3 linked regions of the Ovis aries genome follow. The protein of the gene in region 1 interacts with the protein of each later gene in a pairwise test. Links are inferred from orthologs where the notes say so. Each region holds a gene or a part of one and is shown in the gene's direction. Other genes may lie near its edges.

What was found. The genes of interacting proteins can lie anywhere in the genome.
Region 2: the proteins of HAX1 (region 1) and IL1A interact in binary tests that used the Homo sapiens proteins (3 or more experiments, as listed by UniProt). The link is inferred for Ovis aries from reciprocal best matches to the Homo sapiens genes HAX1 and IL1A.
Region 3: the proteins of HAX1 (region 1) and SAV1 interact in binary tests that used the Homo sapiens proteins (3 or more experiments, as listed by UniProt). The link is inferred for Ovis aries from reciprocal best matches to the Homo sapiens genes HAX1 and SAV1.

Annotation. Positions count from the first base shown.
Region 1 is NC_056054.1:104,558,255-104,562,509, forward strand, and holds HAX1 (HCLS1-associated protein X-1), read left to right. Parts: upstream 1-1,450; 5' UTR 1,451-1,518; coding exon 1,519-1,571; intron 1,572-2,092; coding exon 2,093-2,397; intron 2,398-2,535; coding exon 2,536-2,723; intron 2,724-3,150; coding exon 3,151-3,202; intron 3,203-3,325; coding exon 3,326-3,432; intron 3,433-3,561; coding exon 3,562-3,652; intron 3,653-3,800; coding exon 3,801-3,886; 3' UTR 3,887-4,065; downstream 4,066-4,255. UniProt on the Homo sapiens protein: Recruits the Arp2/3 complex to the cell cortex and regulates reorganization of the cortical actin cytoskeleton via its interaction with KCNC3 and the Arp2/3 complex. Slows down the rate of inactivation of KCNC3 channels. Promotes GNA13-mediated cell migration.
Region 2 is NC_056056.1:60,201,651-60,205,828, forward strand, and holds the start of IL1A (interleukin-1 alpha), read left to right. Parts: upstream 1-1,371; 5' UTR 1,372-1,433; intron 1,434-2,073; 5' UTR 2,074-2,081; coding exon 2,082-2,128; intron 2,129-3,349; coding exon 3,350-3,398; intron 3,399-4,178. UniProt on the Homo sapiens protein: Cytokine constitutively present intracellularly in nearly all resting non-hematopoietic cells that plays an important role in inflammation and bridges the innate and adaptive immune systems.
Region 3 is NC_056060.1:41,781,292-41,785,486, reverse strand, and holds the start of SAV1 (protein salvador homolog 1), read left to right. Parts: upstream 1-1,388; 5' UTR 1,389-1,748; coding exon 1,749-1,842; intron 1,843-4,083; coding exon 4,084-4,195. UniProt on the Homo sapiens protein: Regulator of STK3/MST2 and STK4/MST1 in the Hippo signaling pathway which plays a pivotal role in organ size control and tumor suppression by restricting proliferation and promoting apoptosis.

The DNA of each region.
Region 1 (4,255 bases):
GTGGGTGAGGTGGGGAGGGGGGACCCCCAAATATATATCAGCCCAACAGCCCTAAGTCTCCTCCTTTATTATTAGGAAACAAAACAACAACAAAAAATGGCGTCATGAATATGAACAGCATTGTCAGATGAATTAGTTGAAGTGGTTTTTTTTTTTTTGTACTGTGTCCTCAAATTTAATGGATTAATGTGTCTTGTATATATAAAAAGAAAACCTCTACCTTCAGCCTCTGCCCATTCTTGCTCCGTCTAGGATGTCCTCAGTCTCGTCGATGACCAGCTTGGTGAATAAATATTACTGTACCAACTGGGCCTTCTCTAGCAGGCCCCGAAGGCGGTGGAATAAAAACGAAATCTTCGCCCTTTAAGAACTCCTCTGACCTTAATGTGCTGCCCTTGAGGGGATTCCCTCGCCCTCCCTCAAAAATTTCACAGTGGTGCCTGTAAAGAATCATTGCAAATGTTCATTTCCGTCATCTGTAGCAGATTGTAGGCAGTGAAGGGAGTGGGATAGCTGATACTGGGTGGAAAGGGAGAGGATTAACCAAGAACTGAAAGAAATCGCTTTGTATTGATAGAATCAAAGTTTAATTTAGATGGGTCCGTGCAAATGAACTGGAAAGAAATGAGTGCGAAATATGCACTGTTGGCTAGCAAAACTGAAGCAGTAGATCTTGCTGTTTGAGTGTTTTCATTTCACATAGCTAATATCCACACCCTTGAAGAGGAGGAGGCTGGAGCAAGGCCAGGTTTGGGAAGGAGGTGAGGGCACAGAGAGGGGGAGAGGCTTTGAAAGTCACTGATAGGCAAAAGGGGACACTTACACCTCCAAATTCTTCCTTCCCAAAACTTGACTAGATTTCCCTTGCGCTCTCACAAAGTTTATTCTGATGGTTGCAGAGCCTACGTTGGCAAACTACTTAATAGCTGGAGAGATGAAGTTAAATCCATGCATTCCTGTGTCTTTTACTCTGGGGATGTCATTATTAAAGTAGAAGGAGCTTGATACATTTTGTCCATTCCTCTAATACTAGACTTAAGTCAGGCGAGAAACAAACGATGAAAGAAGGGAGCGGGTGGGTTTAAGGCAGAACACTGGTCCGTGGGTGTGGTGAGTCTGCAATGAGGAAGGGTCTGGGTCCGGTTAATTTCTGTGGGTGGAGTGCCCTCTGGCGGCTGTCTCCAGTGCCATCAAGCGTCAAACCCTCGAAACCCTACTGGAGTGGGTTGGTCGGCCTAAAGAATTGGCTTAGAGGGCAAGTGTTCGTTGGGAAATAAAAACTCAGTACGCCCGCTCCCTTCACAGGAAGCAGGTGGGGGCAAAAGTGAAAGCCTTTAGAATTTGATAGGATCGCCCGCCCCGCCCCTCAGCGACGTCCGGCTTACGGTTGTTTTACGACAGTGTGCGATCGCATGCTTGCTTTCCGGCAGCGTGGTCTGACGCTTCGCTCAATTTCCGACAGCGTAGCTCTGGCTGCTACCCGCTGTGGGCTTCAAAGGTTCGAGTCCCACTACGGGAATGAGCCTTTTTGACCTCTTTCGGGGCTTTTTCGGCTTTTCTGGACCTCGGAGGTGAGAGCGGATTCCGGCCAGACACGGAGGGGCGGGAGTACTCGGAGGGGAGCTTGACCCTGGACACCCTATTTTTGGAAAAACATCCTTTTCTACCCTCCTAAAACTCCTGCGGGGAAAAAAAGGTCAACACTGAACACTCACCCCCCGACAGTAACCAGGGCGGTCGCTAAGAGAAGAAACAGCCGCTTAAGCTTTTCTCCAGTTTAGGGTGATGTAACAGGGGACCGGGTGGGGAAGACAATGGGCTCTGGAGTCGAGGACAAGTGAGCAAGACCTTGGGGGAGGGCAGGGGCTGGGAAACACTTAAGAAAAGCCGCAGGGAAGCGCTGGGGGCGGGGCGGGGTGGGGTGGGGCACCAGGTGAGGACTGACGTTGATGAAGCAAAACAAACCCGATGGCCAGTCCTCTACCCTCACTCCAGGCCCTCAGATCCCAACTCTTGTCCTACTCGTCGAGTCTTAGCTGATGCTATGGTTTAAGTGCTGAAATTTTGGTGGCTAATCTGCCTCCACCCCTAGCCACAGAGATCCCTTTTTTGGAGGAATGACTCGCGATGAAGACGAAGATGATGAGGAAGAGGAAGAAGAAGGAGTCACGTGGGGCCGTGGGAACTCGAGGTTTGAGGGTCCCCAGCCCCCTGAGGAATTTAGCTTTGGCTTCAGCTTCAGCCCGGGAGGAGGAATGCGTTTCCACGATAACTTCGGCTTTGATGACCTAGTACGGGATTTCAACAACATCTTCAGCGAGATGGGGGCCTGGACCTTGCCTTCCCGCCCTCCTGGTGTGTGGATGCTCCTGGGGAAGAACCTGTGGTTTCTACTGGGTCGGTGGGTGAAAAAAAAAGACTTGCAGAGAGTAGTTGGGGGTGTTGGGAAGTGTGAGAAAGCTGATGATTTCAAGGAGATTTAAAAGAGCCCAAGTCCTTTCCTACTCCCAGCATCCACCTGCCACCTTTCTGCAGAACTTCCAGGTCCTGAGTCAGAGACACCTGGTGAGAGACGGCAGGAAGGACAGACGCTTCGGGACTCAATGCTTAAGTATCCAGATAGTCACCAGCCCAAGATCTTTGGTGGGGGCTTGGAGAGTGATGCAAGATCTGAATCCCCCAAACCAGCACCAGACTGGGGCCCCCAGAGACCTTTTCATAGGGTGAGTACATCTGGGCCTGAAGTGGGAGCTGTGGAGAAGACTGCAAAGACTGGAAACCTTGCTGGAATCTAACAGACTTGGGTTGTATTTGTCTGTTTTCTATATTAAGCTTTGTGTAGGATTTTCTTTGGGAGGAAATGGGAGTTCTGCTTTTTGTTAAAAATTACTGTAGACGATGCTTGGAGAAAGCAGAAATGTTTGAAGGAGGACAGAAAAGTGTCAGTTCAGGAATGCTTTTTTGGTAGAGAAATACATGAATCAGGTAGGAAGGAGGGGGAGTGAGTAAAGAAAGCCATCCTGCTGGGATCATTTCTCCTGAAAAAAAAAAAAAAAAGTAGTTTTGGAACTTGGAAATAGGCTGGGTTCTGGGGCCCCTCAAACTTCAGATTGAAAGGTGTCATTTGACCTACTTTGGCTTCTTCTACAGTTCGATGATACGTGGCCTGTGACCCCCCACTCTAGAGCCAGAGAAGACAATGGTAAGTCTGGAGGGAGAGGACATTTACCAGCCCTTTGGTGTCCCTCCCTGAAATTTCTGTCTGCCACATTTGTCCCCTTCTTCGCTTTGGACTCTTTCTTGTTTCCTTTCTGTGCCCTTCTAGATCTTGATTCCCAGGTTTCTCAGGAGGGTCTTGGCCCAGTTCTGCAGCCCCAACCCAAAACCTATTTCAAGAGTGTCTCTGTGACCAAGATCACTAAGCCAGATGGGGTGAGTTGGGAGAGATGGGTAAAGGCAGCTGTGACCAGAGAATGTTCTGGAAAGGGGGACTATGTAAAGAAACAAGTGAACCCACCTTTAGTGATGTTAGGGATATGGTGGGGGGACTTCTTCTTGTAGACTATAGAGGAGCGCCGGACTGTGGTGGACAGCGAGGGCCGGAAAGAGACCACAGTAACCCATCAAGAGGCAGGCGGCAGTCCTAGAGATGGTAAGTGAAGAGTATAAATCAAAGGGATCCATCTCTTAGTTCCATGGGAAAGGGAAACTGTTGCTCTCCTACCATTAAACATTGCTGCCCTCCTTTGCCTCTTTCCAGTCTCCTTCATTTAGCCTGTGTGTATCACTCTTTCCCTTAGGTCCAGAATCACCAACACCTCCATCCTTGGATGATTCCTCTTCCATCCTGGATTTGTTCCTAGGACGTTGGTTCCGGTCCCGGTAGCCTTGTTAATTAATCACAGAGACCTTTAGATTCTTTCCACTTCCCACCCTTTGCTTGGTATTAATGGGCTTAGTTGTCTTCCTGCCACCTCAGGACCTTGGGTGTGTGGAACAGTGAATTGAAGGTCTGTCAGTGTGTCAGTCACCCAAACTGACCAATAAAACCTTTATTTATGCTAATTCTTTGGTCTTGGTTTTGTCGTGGCTATTCCACTTTCTCACAGTATCCAGGGCTTCCCAAATTAACTTGGCCCACAAAAGATTAGCTCTTTGCTTTACTTGCAAAACTGATTCTGATAAGTAAGGACCAGGTACCTTTAGGAAATGATTTTCCTTGTTAATAAATAACTAGTGATAGTTCCAGGGAAAT
Region 2 (4,178 bases), on another chromosome or scaffold:
GCTCTTGTTTATAACTATTATAACACCAGATCTATGACCAGGAGGAACTGAACTGGGCTACAGATTCAGAACCAGAGACTTTGCACCTAGGACAGACCTTGATGATCACAAAATCAGCCTCATCATTTACAAGTAACAAAACCAAACATCATACCTTACTCACACTTTACTTCTGGTTCTGAGCTTTTTGTGCTTTTCAATAACATGTTGCACTTTGGTGCCTTGTCTTTCTCTCTTAAATTTTTTAAAAAATTCCTCCTTGACTCTCCCCATCCATTTCCTTTATTTAAAATTATGTGGCTTAAACTCCAACCAGGAAAACAAAGACATTTATCTGCTGAGTCTGGTGTCCTGCCACCTGAATTGGGCCATCTTCGGAATACTGAAAAAGTCTTTGATGATAACAGCCAGGCAACACTGAATCAGTTTCATGTATGAGTCCCTTCTTCCTTTCTCCCAATCTTTTTTTTTGGCCATGCCGTACGGCATGTATAATCTTAGTTCCCCAACCAGGGATCAAACCCATGGCCCCTGCTGTGGAAGCGTGGAGTCTTAAGCACTGGACCACCAGGGAGGTTCACCCAATCTCCATTCTTGAATCCAGCTACTCCCTGAGTCTCCAGCTATCCTAATATACCTTGGGTTTAACCTAGAGAAGACTAGACTTCTCTTTGGGCTCTGGTAGAAGGTAACTTTGCTGTAACATGAGCCAGGGCATAGAGTTTTCTCATAAAGCTCTGTCACTTCTGTCTGAAACAGACTGACAGTATTCAGAGGAGTAAAATGATTGACTTTTGTGGTTGACTGCCGATTTTCTGTCTTCTACCGTGCCCTAACTGGGAGCTTGCCTTCCCACACTCAGAGTGATTTATGGCTACTCAAGCAAACCTCTGCAGAAAAGATGGATCGGCTTCCCTCAAGAGCCACTCCTTAGCTGCCAGGGGCTGTCAAGTATTCCATCAATTCATACTCAGCCCCGGGGTGCAATAAACGAAATAAGCCGAAACACAAGCTGCTAAGCACCCCTCCAACTCTAACCATCTACAATTCTGCTTTGGGTTTTCCCTCCCTCCTCCACCAAATACTTTTAGAAATTTAAATTTCCTGCTCTTTTCCCCTTTTTCTAAGACCACACGTTTAAAATTGTTAACAGCAAAAGCAATAAATAAATGAATCAAGTCAGAAACTCCTGGAATCTCTAGGAATTTTTCCTGAAAACACTATATTCAAGTACACAATTTGTCATTATTTGGACCGGTATAGGTCGAATGAACTTACATACAAAACAGAAATCTTGTAAATTCCCAGTGACGCAATCGTGGCCACGCCCACTCCGAAGCAGACAAAAGGCGAAGGAGCCTGGCTCAGTTCAAGCCTCCGCGCGAAGACGAGGGAGCCAGTCATCTCATTGTTGCCAGCTCGGTTCAGGAAAGGTATCGTCCTTATCGCATCTTTGGCTCTTATAATATTTTTTGCTTTTCCTCCTTGGCTGTGATCTCTCAAATTGCCTTCTCTGAAGCTTAAGCCTCTTCGTTCCTTTGCCGTCCCTCTCTGGTTTGGCGAGTTAATTAGAATCATAGTCAGATTTCAGAAAATGATTCTCTCTCTGCTGGTGGGAAATTGAGCGACAGAGGAACTGGTTTCCTATGAGAGCATGAGATTACAGCCAAGCCTTCCTTTAGGGGTAGTCTCTGCTGTCAAAAACTATTCAGAGAAAACTGGGAATTTCTAACTCTTTCTCTCTCTTGCAACTGTATAAATTAAATATTTCATGCTTGTTGGGGTTCTTTGGTTTTGGTTTTTTACTTATTCAAATTTTCATCAAATGCCTACCAAATGCAATGCATTGGGTTGGATGCCTAAGAGATACTGAGATTCTAACAGAAGCTTACAGTCTAGCAGGGGAGGCAAATACATAGGCAGATCATTCAAAGGAATTGAAAAGAAGAATGCTGGGTGTGAGCTCACTCATTCATTAAGTGTCTTAGAAGCGCAGAAGGGAGGTGGTTCCCCTTGCAGGTGTCTTGTTCACACAATGGCCAGACTGACAGCTACTGGTGTTTTCTGTTGCAGAAGTGAAGATGGCCAAAGTCCCTGACCTCTTTGAAGACCTGAAGAACTGTTACAGGTAGGAAAGAGATTCTGTCTCTTGTGACTTAATGAGGGAAGCAAGGCACATTAGAATTCAGCTAGGAGGGATTTGCCAGGGAGTCCAGTGGCTAAGACTCTGTGCTCAAAATAAATATTTTTTAAAAAAGAAAGAATTCAGCTAGGATTACAGTAACTATCAATGGGGCAAGACCAGCAGAGGCTATAGAGATGTGTTCTACCTCTGAAGTCAGGGCAGATTCAGAGAAGTCTCAGGGAAATTAAGCATCTAGTAGGTAAACCAAGGTGAAATTTTTGACAGAGAGATGGCCATTTTAGAAAGATTACTTTTAAGGTCTCCTGACTCCTAGCAGTTCTCAACATCTACTTAGACCCAGCTTCAGTCAAATTCACATGCCCTGCTACAGTAATAGATGGTCAGAAAGAGAAACCTTTCTTAGGAAAACTTCTTGACCTCAGTCTGGAATGGGAAATGGCTTCACAGCAATTTGAGCATGTGAAACCTACGCAGTCAGTCTCATTCGGACGCAAAAGAAAGATAATAAAAAGTTTAACTTATAGAACACCTTAAGCAGATGCAGTGTTCCACATTACCTACACGCTAACACAAAGTAGACAATGGAAGTGTTGCCTGCATGTTTTGGAAAGTATAATGATTAAATCTGTTTTAATGAATACATGAAAGCAAAGTGTAACAAATAACCTATTTGATTCAAATTTAGATGAAGTGCTTCAAAAGGAATTCTCCCTGAAGTTTAAATGTTTTCCCTGAAATTCAGTTACCACTCTTCAATCCGTTAGCCAAGCCTCATTTATTTGTTTGTTTTGATGAAGGGGGAGCTAATTTAAAAAATTTTTAATTGAAGTATGGCTGACTTACAAAGTTGTGTTAGTTTCAGGTGTACAGCAAAGTGATTCAGTTATATATGTATATATGTATTTCAGATTATATTCCATTATAGGTTACAGTACCTGTGCTCTACAGTAAATTGTCCAAGCCTCATTTTTATCGATAGAGTACAAGTAAAGTTCAAGGCCTGGTCTGATGATTACTAATTTCACATTATCAGGTACAAATTACTGTATGGATGTGTATGCATAGAAGTCCTTAATTTTCAAAGATGACAATAATGGCTATGTATGTGTGTTACCCAAAGCTAGTTTGGTTATTAAAATATGTTGCCCAGGGAATGTAGTGATATAACAAACAGAATTAAATTCTCATCATCTTGTTTAACAGTGAAAATGAAGACTACAGTTCTGAAATTGACCACCTCTCTCTGAATCAGGTAAGCAAATGACTGTAATTCTTAGGAGACTGCTATCCTTACACAGTATTTTCTCTACTAGAACAGCAACAGCTGAATCTTAGATGCGTTTGTTCTGCCTTCACTGAAGTCCAGAGAGATTCATTTCTTCATGATAAGTGAGGCCAGCTCCCTCTCTAGACTAACAGCTGATGGCACCCTTCATCTCCGTGGATTTTCCCAGAACAGAGGAGAACGAACCTGAAACTCCAAGAATGAAATCTCCTGGGTCAGCCTTCGATCAGAAGGTTGCTTATGCCCTCCCTGGCCAGGCCCCCTGGGCTACTTCCCCAGGGGTTTAAATGATATGTTGTGGATATCCTCTCTAACATCAGCTCCAGAGATTAGAGATAGCTTTCTAGATCTAATAGTCTATGAAGCTGAGGTGGAGGAAGCAGGCCAACTGAAAGTAAAAAATCTGCAGTCATTCAGATGCTGTGTTATTTCGCTAAGAGACCACGAAACAGTATAGGTCCTGCTTTGTGTGTCTTTGATAGTGACTCTAAAAGCTGTATCTAGAGGAATATTCCTAAAATATTTGAGCCGTGTCAAGTAAATGTTTAACCTTCTGGAAAGAACTAACTGGAAGGCTAAATCACTCACTAGCATCACTTGAAGACCCGTCTCATCACTTCTCTCTCTCTTTTTTTTCTTAAACTGAAGTGTAGTTGATTTACAATCCTGTGTTAGCTGCAGGAGTAGAGCATGGTGATACATTTTTTTCTGATGATTTTCTAATATAGGTTATTACAAGGTACTGAA
Region 3 (4,195 bases), on another chromosome or scaffold:
GATGGTTCCTATCTTAGGGAAAGAAAGCACTTTCCATTGTCAAAGCCTCAATTTGGTCACTAGAGGTGGATCCCATCTTATTTCTCAAATGTTATCCTGATCATTTTGCACCTTTGCTAAGTTAAATAGAAGAAAGCAGGGTTTCTTTTAGATTAAAAATCCCAGGTCTTGACCTTTAGTGCTCAAAATTCTCAAAAACAAAAACAGAAAGAAATCTAAAATAGGAGTATTTAACTCTATGAAAGAAATTTTCACATACTGAGGTCTGAAGAAGTCACTCTGGATTGCACACAAGTTTTTACCTTAGCTAAAATGCCCTGTTTGTGGATTATCCAACACATAGTGTACATCTGCTTTATTAACAGGCTCATTAACTTAGAAGTAATCTGGTGACTGGGCAACTAACACTTAACAAGGCTGTCCATGATAAAGACAAAAATTCAATGTCTCCCTTCCTGGGATGCCAATGCTTTTACTGCTTCAGGGATGACTCCCTTTCCACGTACCAAGGCAATAATAACTTCGTGTGTTCCAAACTGATTTTTTTTTTTTGAAACCTTGAAGGAATATATTCCTGACTTATTGAATGTTTTGTTCTGACAAAACTATGCTGAAAACCATGCTTCCCCTCAGGATGTCCTCAGAGTTACCTGAGAAGCTGTCTTCTGGACTTGTATTTCCCAGTTCGGCTCAAATAAAACTCTTTTGTATTCCCATGAGAGGTTATTTTTTTTCCATTGACAACTCCATATTTCCAAGAGGAAATATATGGTGGATAATGATAGTGATAAATAAATCACGCTAATATCAAATTTATCTTGCATCACAGATAACAGAAACACCACTTCGGCTTCTTCCTCCGTGTTTTCCTTTATCAGAAAGACGCACACTCCCTGGCACTAACGGGGTGTTTTCAACAAAAAGATCTAGATTTCTTTGGCTGCAGCATTAGCGTAAGGGTGGCGTTCCTTCGACTCTACAGGCGTTCTGTGCTATTACGGGCTTGAATTTACCAGCCCCCAAAACTCCAAGAGGGACGTCCTCTTTCGTGGCCGAGGACGCGAATGCATCTTGGGGGCATTACCAGCTCCCTCAAGGTCCTGAGAGAAAAATCTGCGGGTAGAGGAGGTTCCTCTGCAGGAGCGCGCCACGGCCTCCTGCGCTCAGTCTGGCACGTTTCGTCCAAAGTGCCCACCAGACCTGCTCCTCGCCGAGCGGGAGTGAAAGCAGCCGCTCCTCCTCCTGAAGACGCTGGGACGACCCGTTAGCTGAGAGGGCGGCCCCGCGTCCTCTGGCCCGAGCCACGCCCAGGAGCGGGTGGGGGAGGGGCGGCGGCGCTCGCGCTGCGTCGAGTTTCCCAGAATTCCCAGCGGCCGCAGGGAAAGTTTACGGGACGTAGGCGGCGACAGCGGCGGCAGCAGTAGCGGTTACTAGGTGGTCAGCAGCGGACCATGGCCCTGGCCGGGCGTTCCTGGCTCTTCTCTCGGAGTCCTCGGGCAACGACGCGGAGCCGGCAGACTTCCGGGAAGGAACTGACAAGCGACTGAGCGGTGACCGGCGCGCTTAGCGCCCCGAACATGCGGCAGTCCTTGTGGGCAACCCCGGGCTGCGGAGAGGCGGCGGCGGCGGCGGCGGCTCGGGAGGGAAGGAGGCGGCGACGCCGGCGGAGGTGGCGGCGGGGACACCCGGCGCCCGGCGCGGAGCCTTAGGGCGGCTGCTTGGCGTGGCCTGGGGCCTCGTGGTCAAGGATGCTGTCCCGGAAGAAAACCAAAAACGAAGTGTCCAAGCCGGCCGAGGTGCAGGGGAAGTACGTGAAGAAGGAGACGTCGCCTCTGCTGCGGAGTGAGTGTCGGGCGGGGTGCGCCCACACCTGGCCTGGGCGGCCGCGGGGGACCCGGGCTGGGTGTCCGACGCCGCTCCCCGCGGCTTCTCTTTCCTTTTGGCCTCTGTGATTTTTTTTTTTTTTTAATGCCTGGAGTGATGTTCGTTGTTTGAAAGCTGATAAAGAGTAAAAAACTTAAGTTAGTCCACCTCTGTTCCCACCCCCCGCCCCCTGTCCCGCCCGTCAAAATCCACAGACTTCCCTTCTTGAAACTATGTTGTTGGTTTTGATTACTGGAAGAAAGATATTCTTTAGGAAACAAATTGCTCATCCGCTGGTTCTGTAGGAATTAAAGGGATTACACTGGGGCACGTTTTCCTCTTGTGACGTCTAGATTTGCATTGTGTTTGCAAACACTGTGGGTGTCACTTGCTCTGCTCGTAGTTGTGCGAACGCTTGAGTAGAATTCTTAGTCCAGCTATTGGATGATGACGTCCGGAGGTGAAAGCTGACCGTCGCTATTGTAGCTGCTGCCCAAAAAGCCTCCTCAGTTGTAGATCTCAGGGTTGAAGAGCCAAAATTATATGTGTTTGGCTGTGTTCATGAGAATTTCTTCAAATAAAACCTCCTAGAAATCCGCCAAAGACTCAAAATAATTTCCATCATACTTTGGGGAAAATTACGAAAAAAGTTGTGTGTGTGGTTATAAACATTTTTTAATAGAGTGCATTTCGCTGGCACTTTATCTTCAATTTAAGTATTTGACTCTAATTTTCCTCCTGAATCTTTTACGTTTTTAATTCTTGCTTATGTGTTCAGAACATTTGTGAGGTAAGGAGCAAGTTTTTTGGTGTTCATACTAAATGCTGGGTCCTTTGTTAAGTTTCCTTCTTGGAAGCTGGTGACTTTGTGACTTAAGCATTACCTCATATTGTAATTGGGAAAGCTTTTCATAGAGGTTCCTGGTAATATTTGCCCAAGATCACACAAAAAGGGGTGGAGAGCATGTTTTCCCATTATAACCACATCATCAACCTTCCAGATTTATCCTTGTATTTGCAATGCTTTCTTACAGAACAGATCAGATGGGTACATCAGTAACCTGAAACTTGATTTTTAAAAACTTTTTTTAATAGTTTATTTTTCATTTACATATTCTCTTAGGATTTTGGCCAAGTTTAGGTTAGCTTGCAGTTAGCTTCAGATAACAGTGTTATTCAACATTCCTTAAAATCATGAAATATGTTTGCCACACCTTTTAGCAAATAACTTTTGATATATAGTATTTTGTTTTAGTTTCATCAAATGTTGAACCTTGTTTATTCGGTTACTAATTTTTGTGTGTTTGGCTTCTGTTGCATATTAATATGCGTGCCCTCTGATACTGTCTACTTAGTGAACTAATAAAATGGTCTCCAGATCCAGTTTTCTTCTTGTTTTAAAGGTGTTTGCTTTCTAACCAGGAATGCTTAAGGTATTTATTTAAGTTTTATATTCAGAAGTACTGTACCCTTAAAGCCATTGCCCTGTTTTCTTCTGTTTTGAATTGTAATTGTTCTTAATTGTTTTGAATTGTAATGGTTTTAGACTTGGCGTTTTTTGTTTGTTTGTTTGTTTTTGAACTGATTCAACATTTGTGTGTCTCTTTGAAATGAGATTTAAAAAAAATTTTAATTTTCATAGCTTAATTTTTAGTTTTTCCATCTTTTGAGTATTGTACTATTGCTACGTAATTCCAAGAGTAGGAATGCCAGGTTAATAATTTTTAAATTTTTTTTTAAGGAATTCGCCTTTACATGTTTGAGAATAGCATTATGATCTGTTTCATTTTTTAAATTGTGTTTTACTTAAAGAAGAGTTTGGGAATGAAGTACAATCTGCAAAACAAACTAATGTTAAATTATGCTGGTAACTGTATTCATTTGTTAGATTGTTTACTATTTTTATACATTTATTCATGAGCATTAATACATATTTTGTAGTTAAACTTACTGATGTTTCATTATATTATGTTTGGTAGTATGCAGAATATGTTTGAATCTGGTAGAGCATACTTATAACACATTCATACAAATTATAAATTCATTTGAGTGGGAATATGGCAATCAGCCTCAATTTAAAATACCCAGATACTTTGCTAAAGTTTCTGATTGTGTTTTCTTAAGTCCATTGAAATTTTTCATTTTGGGGTAAGATGTAAATAAACAACTTTGGAAAAGCATATTACTTACTAGTCATTTTATTCTTTTGTTTTATTATAGATCTTATGCCTTCTTTTATCCGGCACGGTCCAACAATTCCAAGACGAACTGATATCTGTCTTCCAGATTCAAGCGCTAATGCCTTTTCAGCTTCTGGAGATGGAATAGTTTC